Linked DNA regions of Elephas maximus indicus. The protein of the gene in region 2 binds, or shares a complex with, the protein of the main gene of each other region. Links are inferred from orthologs where the notes say so. Each region holds a gene or a part of one and is shown on either strand. Other genes may lie near its edges.

Region 1 (7,307 bases), on a different chromosome or scaffold from region 2:
AATAAAACCCAGTGACAACACCAAATGCTGGCAAGGATGCAGTGAAACAGGATTACTCATATGCTGTTAAATGGTACAGCCATTCTAGAAACATCTGGCGGCTTCTTAAAAAATTAAACATACAAGTACCATATGACCCAGCAATTACACTCCTGTATCCGAATGTGGGTATAGTAACTTTATTCATAATAATCAAACACTGGTTAAACTGTGATAAATCCAAAACAGAATACTGCTTAGCAATAAAAAGGAATGAACCACTGACAGACGTTAACACCTGGAATCTCCAGGGAATTTTGCTGAATTAAAAAAGCCAATGCCACAATATCATATACTGTATGATTCCATTTATATACCATTCTTGAAATGACAAAATTATAGAAATGAAGAACAAATTAGAGGTGGCAAAGTGGTTAAGAGGTACGTCTGCTAACCAAAAGGTCAGCAGTTCGAATCCACCAGGTGCTCCTTGGAAACCCTATGGGGCAGTTCTACTGTCCTACAGGGTTGCTATGAGTTGGAATCGACTGTCCAGCAATGGGTTTGGTTTTCTCAGGGGCAAGGAGGGAGGGGAAGTACATGTGGCTACAAAAGGTAACACAAGGATTTTTGTGGTGATAGAAATGTTCTCTATCTTGGCTTTATCAATATTTTGGCTATAATGTACTATACTTCTGCAGGATGTTACACTGGGAGGAAACAGGGTAAAGAGTACACCTCTCTGTATTATTTCTTACAAATACATGTGGATCTACGGTTATCTCAAAATAAAAAGATTAAAAAAAAAAGAAGATTCTCCTTTCCCCCAGTTTTTAGAAAAGCTCTTTGCAGCTGCAGGTGAACATACACTTTAACTATGATGAGAAAAGGCTAAAGATTTGGACCTAGTACCAAAACACCCCGATCCAACTTACCTGCTTCACTTTGACTGTTGAGTGGTGAGGACTTCGGTTTCTCTTACCCCGTGGAGACTTGCTTCTTCTCCCTGAGGACTTGCTTTTCTTTTTGGCTGGGGACCTTTTCAGAGCATGGTACACTCAGGATTTTATCTCAACATCCCTTCCCCCATATAAATTAGCTTCAAGTATCGGACTTGCCTACCAACAGAAACACCACACCTGTGACAGAAACTAGGCATCAGAGGCTTTACCTTCCTAGGAATAACACCTCCCTTGAGTTCCAGACCAACATACGTAATGGCCTACCGAGCTTTATCAATTATGTAACAAAACTCTTTAACTCCCAACCCCCCAACCTTCCTCTCCCAGTCTTTGTCATCTTCGTAACTAGTAGTATCCAGCCTCTTCCACAAACCAAAAACCTAAAAGTCACCCTTCATTCTTTATTCCCTCACCACTAACACCTCCCCTCACCACCACTATACACACGCAATTACATTCAATCCATCAGCAAGTCCTGTGGCTCTATCTCCTCTCTCCCTCGCCACATTCCTACCACCCTCTCTATTGATCACTACACTCCATCATCACTGGCCTTTTTTCCATGTCTAAAACAATCATTGCACGTATTGTTTCTTCTGCCTGGATCATTCTCATCATTCAGGTCTGGGCTCAAATGGCATCTCTTCAGAGAAGCCTTCTCCCACTTTTCCCCAAACTCTCACTATCATATTACTGTACTGTTTTAACCTATCCCTAATACTTATTACTAACTAAAACTATTTTATTTATTTGCTTGTTATCGTCTGTTCCTCAGTTAGAAGACATCAATTCCATCAGGATAAAGACCATTCTTCCTGTTCACCCTTGTGGTCCCAATAGCTAGAACAGTCTTTGGCACATGAACAACAACCTGTTGCTGGAGAGTCGATTCTGACTAGTGGCAACCCTACAGGACAGAGCACAACCGCCCCACAGAATTTTCAAGGCTGTAATCTTTACGGAAGCAGGCTGCCACATCTTTCTCCCACGGAGCAGCTGGTGAGTTCAAACTGCTGGCCTTTCTGTTAGCAGCCCACCTCTTAACCACCGTCCCACCAGGGCTCCTTCTTTGGCACAGGTTGTTGTTAGGTGTCACTGAGTTGGTTCTGACTCACAGCGACCCTATGTACAAAAGAACAAAACACTACCATCCTCACAATTATTTCTATGCTTGAGCCCCTCATCGAGGGTCTTCCTTTTTTTCTGCGGACCCTCTACTTTACCAAGCATAATGTCCTTCTCCAGGGACTGGTTCCTCCTGATAACATACCCGAAGTATGTGAGACAAATTTCTCGCCATCCTCGCTTCCAAGGAGCACTCTGGCAGTACTTTTTCCAAGACAGACAGCAGTCCAAGACAGTTTTGGTTTGAGGAAGAGGGCGGATAGTGCCAATTACGAAGATGACACACAGTAAGTGCTAAACAAGGTTGAACGAATGAGTAAATGAGTCTACCAAAAGGCAGTATTTTTTCAGTTTCTATCAGTTAGACTTCCTAGATCCTCCTTGGGGAAACCTTTTGGAAAGAGAACGCCCATACCTGGCTTGGCAACCAGACGGGAAAAATCTTTCATTTTAATTGAACAAACAACGCTATCTACTAGGCCATGCTCTGCTAGGTGTTGGGAACAGAGATGAAGGGGCGGAGCTCTGTCCACTACGTGCTTAACGCTCAGCTATTATGCCATCGGAGGTGCAGGAGTAAACCTTTAACGCAGTCACTCCCATCGCTTCCAGGGTTAAGTTCAAGTTGCTGAGTCCAGCACCCAAGGTCTGTTTCTGACACTAGCCCGTATTTCTATCTCAATGAACAGACCTAAGGTCAACCTCAAGCTGCTCCCCACTTACCGGCTGCCTCCGCGGGCTCGGTTACCGCGGTGACTAGGGCGGCTGGGCTCGCCGGCCGGCGAGGACTGGCTGTGGCCAGAGTCAGGGCGGCGGTGGGCGGGAGGGACGGTTTCCGGGCTGAGGCGCTCCTGCTTCACCACCACCGTCGCCGCCGCCACCATGTCCCCGTCTCGGTGCCTTCGCCTGCTTCCCCGTTCCCGCTCGCTTTTCACCTCCTTCATCCCGCGATCCTGGCTGAGGAAAAGAACAAGTCCGTTGAGCTCCGCTCACTGAAGGAAATGACGTACTTGACCCGTTGACTTCCGTTTCCGGGTTACGTGCTCTCCCAGAAACCCTCGCGGCGGAGGCCCTGAGCACGTGACAGCCGCTCTCTAGGGGGCGGAACCGTAGCGACTGGCTCAGACGGCGGGAGTTTTAAGTTTCAAAAACAAATAGCTGGAAAAAGCTACACTCTTAAGGCTGTTGCCACGTTATTAGTAATTAAAAACACAGATACAACCTAAATGTCCAGCAGTATGGAATTGTTTAGCCAACTGATGGCATGTTATGTCGCCATTAGCAGTGTTATTTACAAACTGTATGGCAAATGGAGCCCTGGTGGTGCAGTGGTTAAGAACTCGGCTACTAACCAAAAGGGAGACGTTGGAATCCACCAGCGGCAATTTGGAAACCCTATGGTGCAGTTCTAGTCTGTCCTATGAGTCTAGCCTAGTCGCCATGAGAGGAATGACTCCACGGCAACTTTTTTTTTTTAATATGGCAACTGGGAAAAAAAAACAGTCTTGTTTAAACGAAAAAAAGCAGGATACAAAATTGTGCGTGAACTGATTACATTTACGTTTAGAAACGTGAAGAAAAAAAAGGAAATGTAGTCGTAGTTGACCGTGAGCAAATCACTATTTTTCCTTTATTTCCGGAATTTTCTGCAATACTGTCATTTCTCAGTTTAATTTAAAAAAACTAGATAAAAAACTAGGAATCTTCACAGGCTTTCCTTTGGGAATCATCCTCAACCCTTCAATGAGGAGTCAGGAATGACTTCCATTTTGCAGGTGACAAAACTGAGGCTCAGCGAAGGTGACATGCCCATTCAAATCGCGAGCAAGGAGCGGCGCAGGGACTCGAACCCACACTTTTCCTGCTTCCAAGAGACCCGGAGCGACCTGCTGAACAGAAGACCCAAAAAGCCAAGCGCTAAGAGAGCCTTTCTTGAACGCTGCGCGGGGAAGAAAACTGGCGCTCCGCTGGCCCCGCCCCCCGAAGCCCCGCCCAGAACATGCAGCTGGCCGAGGAGGTTTCCATGGTGACGGGAAACAAGGCCCAGACAAGAGGGCCAATTCTGGGCTACTACCCCCCGCGGCCGCCATGATTCCCCCCGCAGACTCGCTGCTCAAATACGACACCCCGGTGTTGGTGAGCCGGAACACAGAGAAACGGAGCCCCAAAGTAAGGACGGGTCTCGGGGCGGGGCAGGGGGGGGTGGGCGGGGAAGAGAATGGAAGGGGAAGCTCCGATGGGGAAGGACAGGTCCCTGCTTTGAGGGTTGAGAAACCGGAGGGACAGGGGATTGGGATGGGGGGGGAGGAAGGGAGAGGGCACAAGAAGCCCAGATGTTAGGGGTGACCCTAAAGGGCAGATTTAGGGTGAGGAAGGAAGTCACAAGGACGTGGATGGAGCTCACTCTTTCATGGTAGCTGGGTCCAAGCAGAGATGAAGTAGTGATTTCCCCATCACTGGAGGTATGAAGGAAATTCTGGTGGTGCAGTGGTTAAGTGCAATGGCTGCTAACCAAAAGGTCGGCAGTTTGAATCCACTAGGCGCTCCTTGGAAACTCTACGGGGCAATTCTCTGTCCTGTAAGGTCGCTATGAGTTGGAATCTACTCCACAGCAACAGGTTTGGTTTTGGTTTTAGAGGTATGAAAACAGGACTGAGCACCATTGCCAGAAACGTTGTTCAGGAGAACACAAGCATTTGGTTGGGGTGGGACCAGAAGCTTTTCATGGCCTCCTTCAGCTCTGAGACATGACTTCTGCTAAGACAAGGTGAAAGTGAGCTGGGAGTAGGGAAGCAATGAGCAGGAGACACAATCCAGGGGGCTGGTACATGTGGATCTGAGTGCCTAACTCACTGGCGCCCTAACCTGCTACTTCTTCTCAGGCTCGGCCACTAAAAGTCAGCCCCCAGCAGCCTGGACCTTCGGGTCCAGTCCCACAGCCACCAAAGACCAAGGTTCCTTCAACTTCCTGTGTCCCAGACCCTACAAAGCAGGCAGAAGAAATCTTGAATGCCATCCTGCCCCCAAGGTAAAAAAAAAAAGTGGGAGCAGGGGCTGGAGAAGACCTAGGTTTTTGGATCCCAGAACTTGGGAATGTGCAGAGATGCACCATACCTCTGTTCCTGGGTAGGGGTCCCCCCTACCAACCCACCAGCATTCCAGAGCTCCTCCAGCTTGCAGGTGACTGGGTCCTGGGAGGGTGAAGGGAGACCTCTTCTCTGTCTACCCTCACTCTGAGTGTTCTCACTCAGTCTTATGGTTTTAAATACCATCTATATGGTGATGAATGGTGGTGCAGTGGTTAAGCGCTCGGCCGCTAACCTAAAGATTGGCAGTTTGAACCCACCAGCCACTCTTCGGAAGATATGGCAATCTGCTTCTGTAACGATTTACAGCCTCTGTCCTGTAGGGTCCCTGTGAGTCGACCTACTTGACAGCAGTGGGCTTTTGGTTTGGTTATATGCTGATGAGGAGTCCTTGGGTGGTCCAAGGGGTTAATGGCCTTGGCTGCTAACCAAAAGGTTGGAGGTTGAGTCTACCCAGAGGCACTGCAGAAGAAAGGCCTGACGATCTACTTCTGAAAGACCAGCTATTGAAAACCCTGTGGAGCACAGCTGTACTCTGATACATAGGGGGTCGCCTTGGGTCAGGTTAACTCAACAGCAACTGGTGGAGGCAGTGGATGTGCTGGTAAGGCCTTGGTGGTTCAGTGGTGGAATTCTCACCTCCCACGTGGGAGACCTGGGTTCGGTTCCCAGCCAGTGCACCTCGTGTGCAACCACCACCCATCTGTCAGTGGTGTCTTGTGTGTGGCTATGATGCTGAACAGGTTTCAGTGAAGCTTCCAGACCATGATGGACTAGGAAGAAAGATCTGATGATCTACTTCCGGAAAGCAGCCAGCGAAACCCCGTGGATCACAACGGTCCAGTCTGCAGCTGATCATGCGGATGGTATAGGACCAGGCAGCGTTTAGTTCTGCTGTGCACGGAGTTGCCATGAGTTGGGGGGTGACTCCACGGCAGCCTACGACAACAGCAATATGCCGAGAACTCCCACATGTGTATTTCCAGCCCTGTTTTCCCCTTAAACTTCAGACCCACATATTCTGCTACTTCCTCATTATCTTCACGAAGATGTCCAATAGACATCTCAAACTCAACACGTTTGAATTAAGTCGCAATTTCTCCCTCCCTCTACTTGCTCATCCCCAGTTTTCTCCTTCTCAGTGAACTGTAACTCCTTTACTACCCGCTCAGGCCACCTTTCATTCCTCTTCTTCTCTCACACTGCATGTCTGGTCCTTCATCAAATTCTCTGGCTCCACCTTCAAATTATATCCCAAATCCAACCACTTTCACTACCTCTGCCTCCACCATTTTGTTCCAAGTCACTGTTTCTCACCTGTGGTAGCACATTGGCCTCCTAACTGGAAACCTTGCTTCCACTCTCTGCCCTTACAGTCTGTTCTCCATCCTTAAATCATAAGTCAGATCAGGCCAGTCTTCTGTCAGAAGCCCCCTAATGTCACTTAGACTAAAATCCAAAGTCCTTACCATGGCCTTGCCACGGCTTGAAAGACCTGGCATGATCTGGCCCATGATACATCAACCTTATCTTATTGTTCACTGTGCTCAAGCCACATGGCCTCCACTTGCTGTTTCTTTGTGTCTTTTTTTGGTGGCAATATAACAATCAAACATATATCCATTCAGTTTCTACATGTATAGTTCAATGATATTGGTTACATATTTCACATTGTATCACAGTTCTCACTGTCTCTACCCATATTATTTTATCACCGTTAATTTAGACTCCCTGCCTCTTCCAAGTTCTCATCTGTACTTTACATCAACATATCAACTTGAACACTTGCAGATACTTCTTTATAAGAGGACAGTGCTCAAGGCAATCATTCTTTATTAACTGAGCTGAGCGGTTGTTTAGTTTAATGATGGCTTCATGGGGTAGTTTTAGTTCAAGGTTTAAAGATTACTTCCAGGCAATAGATTTAGGGCAGTCTCAACGGATTCAGTAAATCTGGTTTCCATATGAATTAAAAGTTCTCTTCCATGCTTGTCTTCCTTTTGATTAGGATCCACTTATTGGATCCTTGATCAAAATGTTCAGTGATGGTAGCTGGGCACCACCCATTTTTTCTGGTCTCATGGGAAAGAGGTAGTAGTAGTTCACGGAGGCAACTGGACCTGTAGTCCAATTACTTCACTGATTTCTGGATCTC
Region 2 (7,813 bases):
CACAGTCGAATGCCTTTGCACAGTCAATAAAACACAGGTAAACATCCTTCTGGTATCTCTGCTTTCAGCCAGGATCCATCTGACATCAGCAATAATATCCCTGGTTCCACGTCCTCTTCTGAATGTCTGGCAGTTCCCTGTCGACATAGTGTTGCACCGTTTTTGAATGATCTTCTGTAAAATATTGCTTGCATGTGATACTGATGATATTGTTATGTAATTTCCACATTCAGTTAGGTCACCTTTCTTGGGAATAGGCATAAATATGGATCTCTTCCAGTTAGCTGGCCAGGAAGCTGTCTTCCATGTTTCTTGGCATAGACGAGCGAGCACCTCCAGCACTGCATCCATTTCTTGAAACATCTCAACTGATATTCCGTCAATTCCTGGAGCCTTGTTTTTCGCCAATGCCTTCAGAGCAGCCTGGACTTCTTCCTTCAGTACCATCAGTTCCTGATCATACGCTGCCTCTTGAAATGGTTGAACGTCGACTAATTCTTTTTGGTATAACTCTGTATATTCCTTCCATCTTCTTTTGATGCCTCCTGCGTCGTTTAATATTCTTCCCATAGAATCCTTCACTATTGCAACTCGAGGTTTGAATTTTTACCTCAGTTCTTTCAGCTTGAGAAACACCAAGCGTGTTCTTCCCTTTTGGTTTTCTATCTCCAGCTCTTCGCACATGTCATTATAATACTTTGTCTTCTCGAGTCACGCTTTGAAATCTTCTGTTCAGTTCTTTTGCTTCATCAATTCTTCCTTTTACTTTAGCTGCTCAATGTTCGTAAGTTTCAGAGGGTTCTCTGACATCCATCTTGGTCTTTTCTTTCTTTCCTGTCATTGTATGAAATATATACCTCAGAAGGAGGAAAAAAAAGAGAGTCTATGGGGAGAAAAAAAGAGCCTGCACTTCAGTTGTGGTGATTGGAATGAAAGAGAAGGTATTGTGGAGAGGGCAAATAGAGAGTTATTCCTTTCTATCAGAGCCCAGGAGTCAAATAAATTCAAATTATTTTCTGATGAAAATTTCACTACCTGAAATCTTTCTACTTACTATTCATAATTTAGAATCAAGGAGATCCAGATAACATGGTTTCCTTCAGTATCCAAACTCACACTATCTGAACTCAAAAACCAAACAGAATTGGACAGTAGAGATACTTCTGTGAAGAATAATTGGCAAAATCTAGTGATTTCTCAAACGTAAGGATTATCAGGGAGAGGAAGAAGTCAGGGACAAGACTCCCAGGTTTTTGGTTAGAGTGACTGTAAGGATATGAACGATAGTGTCACCGACTTAGGCACAGGATTAAAGCCAAATGAAAACACAAGCTAGTCAGTGAAACATCATTTCCTCCAGGCAAAACACATTTTCCAGCAAGAAATTTTGTTTCTATATTCTACCGAAGTCACAGAATGGGTTTCAGTACATTAACATCATCCGCTACTGTTGAGTTGATTTTGATTCATAGTGACCCTATAGGACACCGTAAAACTGCCCCACAGGGTTTCTAAGGCTATAAATCTGTACAGAAACAGACTGCCACATCTTTCTCCAACAGAGCGGCTGGTGGGTTTGAACCACTGACCTTCTGGTTTCACTACAGCCATTAAAAATTACAAGAAAATTCTGTCGCAACACGAAATGCCTTTAAACAGGACAAACTGAATCCAAAGAATATTACATAAAACCTAACTGTAAATAGATATAGACTGGAAGGTATTCAGAAATTGCAAAAATATTCTTTAAATTTGAGCCGTTTTTCTCCAAAGCTACATTCCATATAAATATGGACTACAAATTAACCATGCATGCGATCTACAGAAACACTGAGAATTTTATATTATTTCATGCATAGCAGAAAGTATCTACTTGTCTGTCTTTACCACTCCAACAAGGTGGAGATGTTTTTTTTTTTTTTTTAATGGTTCTATTACCAGCGCACAGAATAACAGGTGAACAATAGTAAGAATTTCGTTGACATTAACAATCCTTGACTCAACAGAACAACAACAAAAAAACTAACTAAATATAACCGCTCACTTAGTAGAAGCCTCTACCCCTTTGTTTCGAGATCAGTTAAAAGGAAAAATAGCCAAACCATATGTATTTACAGGTAGTATGGAATGAAGTACTCAAACCGGTAAACAAGTCTTCAGTAGGCACAGCTAACGGACAAAGTATAAAGTCAAAGAAGAGAAAAAATGGAAGTAAAACTTATTATCTGTGTAATTAGCCACAAATACGAATATTGGGAGATTTTCCTAAAAGTCTACCTTATAGAAAATGTAGGTTGAACAATATCTTAAGCTATATCAAAAAAGCTACACATATATATATTTAAAATATTTTAGAAGTACACTTCAATATTTCCAGATAAAGCCATGCTGCTTCTAAGTACTCATTTAAACCGACGATAACAATTTGATCACGAAAAACGCATTCATTTAAAGAACTTCTCACGGAAGGCATACAATTTTTCTCGATGGCTCCCGCCTCCTTAGGGCACATGGACCTACTCATAGTAGCCTGTTCTCAGGAGTTGAGACGGGCCAGAAAAGTAACCTAGACTAGAGCACGAGTTCCCCCTCGAAAAGAAAATCGGTATCGGTAACTAGGCGAAAGAGCTCGTAAACCCGGGAAAGCACCGTGAAAGACTTTAAGACATTAAGTGGGAAGAAACGTCCCCGCCTTTGCGTCCACCTTTTGGAAGAGCAGATCGATCCCTCGCGACCCAGTCTGAAGCCCGGCCCGCAGCACCGCCCGCGCGGCCAAGACCCGGACGGGAGCGGCTGGCGCCGGAGGCCGTTACCAGGCCGCGCGCGCGCACGCGGCTTTCGCGCCTCCTGCAGCTGGGGAAGCCAGTCTCCCAACTCCGGCCCAAACCCTCCCTTCACAACCCGCACGCCGCTTCGTAGCCTTCTCACCTCACGAGCTTCATCCTAGCGGCGCCGTCACTCTTTCGGCCCGATAGCGCACAAGACCAGAGAACAGAGTCCCGACCGAACGGGGGTATGAATGGCCGGAAACTCCTACTCCCGGGGCTCCGGACGTAAAGAGCGCGCGGAGCCCTGCGAACGCACGGCGGAAACGTAGAGGTTGAGCTGATCCGGCTCTCTTCCGGCCGTGAGGAGCACGACTGCACCCCCTGGTGCCTGGAGGTGTGCCTTGCGACTGCTGAGGGCGGCTAGGGCTGGTCTGGGAGGAAATTTCCAGCAAGAGGAAAATTTGGGGAGATCAAATCCAGTTCGGAGGCCTGTCGCCATCACGTTTTCTCGCGGCAAGGCACCGTGCATTACACCCCTCCGAATATCCCCCCGAATAAAGGGAAGTTCTAAGAGAAGCCCAAAAGATTATTCTAACTCTAGATCGACAGAGCACCCAGAACCTACCTCACCATTGCCTAACCTACCTGAAGAAAATCTCCCAATTTAACTTATTATTTGCATTTAAGTTCTGATCATAAACCTCAGATGGGCACCTTACATTGCCCAGAAAGACTGTTACTCTTTTCTAGTAAGCTCACCAACTCTTTCATACCTTCTGTCCCCCTCAAACTTTCTACAGTCTCACTACCAAATCTTTCTACTAATATTTCACACGTTCAGAAAACAGATGCCATCCTTTTGCCTTCTCTCCTTTTACAAGGCTAAAAGTAATGTCGCTCCTTTCAAAGACAAACTCCTTTTCTTAGTAGTTTGGATCCCATCTCTCAATTTCTCAAGAATTTCGTTCCTTCAGTTATTTCTCTCTAACTCTACTCTTTCTCCTATTTTACTGATTTTTTTCCCATCAGCATTCAAATTTACCTTAAAAACAAAGCCAAGTTCTCTCTGCTTCAGCCCTAGCTACTGCCCCATTTTTTAACAGGAAAACTTCTTGAATGAGCTATCTCTACTTGTTTCATCACTTCTAGGTCACTTTGCAAACTACTTCACTGACGTTGCTTTTCAAAGGGGATCAGAAACCTCCAAGACAAACTTTTCTATCTTTGTGGTACTCAGCATCTCATCAGTGTTCAACATAAGCACTTCCTTTTGAAACACTCCTTTCTCAACGTACCCTAAACGGTAATCTTTGTATGAATACTTTCTCCTGTAGGTAGGTAATCTCCTCCAAACCATGGCTTTAATTTGTATCTCCAGCATGAACTTAATCCCTGATCACCAGAATTCTAGGATGTTATGACGCAACAATATTCATCAAACTTTAATGTTCATAGGACTCATTGGGGAAAATTTTAAAATGAAAGTTTTCGTTCGGTTGTTGTGTTGGGACTTGCCTTAGTACTATGAGAATAAAGAGTCTCAGGACGGAGAGTTAATAAACAGACAAAAACCCATGGTGATAGTAATGAGCTGCTGGATCAAGCTGTGCCTGAGTGTGGAATTTAAATTAAAATGAAGTTAGATTAAAAATTCAGCTCTTCAGTTGCAATAGCCACATTTCAAGTGTTCAATAGCTATATGTGGCTGTGGCTACTCTTTTGGACAAAAAAGATATGGAGCATTTCTTTCATTGCAGAAAGTTTTGTTGGACACTGCTGCTCTATTTATTACCATATTTGTTTCCTTCTTAGCATTTATTTGATAACTTATTTACTGTCTGACACAAGAGTGTCAACTGTGAAAGGGCATTTGTATTTGTTCTGTTCACTGTAGCATCCTTAGCACTTAGAATAGTGCCTTGCACATAATGTGCCCTCAATCAATATTTGTGAAATAATGGCTTGTCTTTTCCATTAGAATGTATGCTCCTCCAAGAAGAGACCTTGTGTGTGTTGTTGATTGCAGCATCCCTAGTGCTGAGCCAAACCAAACCAAACCAGTTGTTGTCGAGGTGATTCTGACTCATAGCGACCCTGCAGGACAGAGTAGAACTTCCCCATGGAATTTCCAAGGCTGAAATCTTTATGGTAGCAGACTGCTACACCTTTCTCCCTGGGTACTTACTGGTATTGTCCTCAAGCGCTTCCTAATTTGGGCTTTGACTACCTCTTAATCCATTTCCTCTCAATAGCATTAGAATATTTGAGTTATTGGAACTCATCAAGCTCATTTTCCTCTCCAGATTTTGTACATGCATTTTTTTTGATCTGGCTAATACCTACTCATCTCCTGTCAAGTAAGTGGGGAATTATTTCTTGTATCTAATAGTGGTGGGGCTTCCAGAGGAGGGCAAATTGAAATGGCATTGTCAGTTGGTTTATACCAAATTGCTATAATTTTTTAATTTATTTTATTTTTTGTTGTTGAGAACATACACATCTGTGCACACACCAATTCAACAATTTCTACGTGTACAATTCAGTGACACTGATTACATTCTTCAAGTTGCACAACCATTTTTGCCCTCATTTTCTGAATTGTTCTTCTTCATTAACATAAACCCATTGCCCCATAAGTTTCCTGTAAATTGCTATACTTTTTGTTTTTGTTTTCTAGCTTGAAATGTTAGAATTTTTACTCTTATAAGTACAAAACTGTCAAAAGAGTACTGAAATAAAATTCACAAAAGTGGAGCAACAAAGATAAAGCCTTTATTTGCTGCTAGCAGGATGGTCAGTTTGAAAATGAGACTGCCCTGTCTTCTGGAAATTAGCAGAGGTTTTACATATGTTACAGGCATTTAGATTAGTCACAAGAAACAAGGAAATGAGAATGTGGTATGTGGGGCAAGACAACTATTGCATTACCAGTTTTTAGAAGTAGATGCCCTAATTAACGATAAGCGAGTCCAGAAAAGTACAATCGGCAATTCTGAGCCAGCAAGGAAAATGGACAATTTAAACAAGCCCCCCGCCTGAAAAAACAACAACAAAAATCACATGCATAAGACCTGTTGCCTTCGAGCTGATTCTGACTCAGCGACCCTATAGGACAGAGTAGAACTGCCTCATAGGGTTTCCAAGGAGCACTGCTTGCCTTTTGGTTAGCAGCCAAGCTCTTAACCACTGCACCGCCAGGGCTCCAAACAAGTCCAAGAAAGTACGTTTACTGTTTTGAATTTAGGAACAGAGCTTAGGGCAGAAGCTTGCAAATCTTGGTGTACATGTTGTGAAAAAAAACCCTTCACCATTTAGATAACCATCTAAGTTCTGTATATCTAAGCACAGTGTTTGTTTCTAGCATGGGCACATGGCAAAAGCTGAACCAATCACAGCTCTCCCCTAGGACTTTCTCTGGAGCTCACAGGCATAAGGACCTCTCTCTTTACTGGAATCAGTTTGCTGTGAGCTCAACATAGTCTTTGCCATGTTGTTGGGAGAGCTTGGTTGAGAATGAAGCCAGTACAGATGAAAGAAGAGCTGAGAGTTGGAGAGACATTGTCCTGTTGACATCACCTGAACCTCAGGTTTCAGGATGTCCTGAGGTCAGCGGTTCCCCTGCAGTTTGTACTTACAGTAGCAATAAATTTCTTTTTTTCCTCTATATTAGTTCGAGGTGGTTTTCAGTTATTTTTGAACTAAGAGAGACCCAGCTAACATTTTCTTTGGATTACCAAACACTTCTTCCTTTAAGTTGAATATTTTCTTATAGTTGTCTGAGAAACTATCTCTTGCTAGTCCCAGGCCCCTTCTGAACCCAAAACTTGTATTTCTATATTTCAATTGTGACCTACATTCCTCCATCAGTTCAGTTCAATGCTAGGCTTCTCATTGATCATCATTTGCAAAAACCCAAATTCTTTACTATTTCTTAGAAAAAACTGAAAACTCAGTCAGGGGAGAAATTTATTTGGCTGATCATGATTATTTTGTAGTGCACAACTAAATTAAATGCACCAAATTCCAAAGCTCATAGATTGTTTTAAAAGAGAACCACTGATAGAAGGCAAAACAAATTTTGCCAATATGATATTTCAGAATAATTGAGTTAATCAAACTACAAATTGAGAGCTAATGAATCAGAAGTGAAAATATACTTCAAAATGATAAAGAATAATGTCTAAGAAAGCTTATTTTCCCATAAAAGTGAATGACTTTATACTTTCATAGCATGTTTAAGAAATAATTTTTGAAAAGAAAATCTAGAATAAATTAGAAATGAATTATACATTAAATATGATTTACTTCTGTACCAAAAATCAGTACATCTACTTTCATGTGGTCTGACATTTGTAAAATTATACTCCTAATTGTGACCAATACAACAAATACAGTGAAATAGATCACTTAGAAGCAGAGGCCTGTTTTGTGGGAATGGAAGCTTGTACTATAATTTTATGTGTGTATGCCAGAATTTTTTTTTTTTTAATGCCAGAATTCGAGTTAGTAAAGTTACTAGAAGTAACTAATTAGTCCCTGTGTGGCACAAAATAAGAGCTTGACTACTAGCCGAAACGTTGGTGAAGACAGGCCTGGCGATCTGCTCCCAAAGGGTCAAACAAACAAAAAATCCTACCAAATCCATTGCCATCAAGTCCATTCTGACTCATAGCGACCTCATGTGTGCAAAGTAGAACTGCACCACAGAATTTCAAGGCTGTGACATTCCAGAAGCAGATTGTCAGGACTTACTTCTGAGATGCCTCCAGGTGGCCTCACACTGTCAAACTTTTGATTACTAGTTGAACACTTAACCATTTGTACCACCCAGGGTCTGAAAGGTCACAGCTTGAAAATTCTGTGGAGCAGTTCTACTTTGCACACATGAAGTCTCTATGAGTTGGAATCAATTCCACAGTAGCAACAACAAAGATAAAGTGGCTTACACAACTAAAAGAAATCATATCACTTTTCTGACACTCTAACCCATTGCCCTTGGGCCATTCAGACTCATAATGAGACTATAGGACAGAACAGAGCTGTCC

What was found. Proteins that work in one complex are often made in the same cells at the same time.
Region 1: SNRPD1 (region 2) and SNIP1 share a complex: the UniProt entries of both Homo sapiens proteins name them as parts of the minor spliceosome. The link is inferred for Elephas maximus indicus from reciprocal best matches to the Homo sapiens genes SNRPD1 and SNIP1.

Annotation. Positions count from the first base shown.
Region 1 is NC_064821.1:79,129,343-79,136,649, forward strand, and holds the start of SNIP1 (smad nuclear-interacting protein 1), read right to left. Parts: upstream 3,060-7,307; 5' UTR 3,011-3,059; coding exon 2,790-3,010; intron 1,018-2,789; coding exon 915-1,017; intron 1-914. Other genes in the region: DNALI1 (axonemal dynein light intermediate polypeptide 1), read left to right, coding at 4,155-4,235, 4,949-5,094. UniProt on the Homo sapiens protein: Required for pre-mRNA splicing as component of the spliceosome. As a component of the minor spliceosome, involved in the splicing of U12-type introns in pre-mRNAs. Down-regulates NF-kappa-B signaling by competing with RELA for CREBBP/EP300 binding.
Region 2 is NC_064829.1:27,455,924-27,463,736, reverse strand, and holds the start of SNRPD1 (small nuclear ribonucleoprotein Sm D1), read right to left. Parts: upstream 3,087-7,813; 5' UTR 2,943-3,086; coding exon 2,929-2,942; intron 1-2,928. UniProt on the Homo sapiens protein: Plays a role in pre-mRNA splicing as a core component of the spliceosomal U1, U2, U4 and U5 small nuclear ribonucleoproteins (snRNPs), the building blocks of the spliceosome.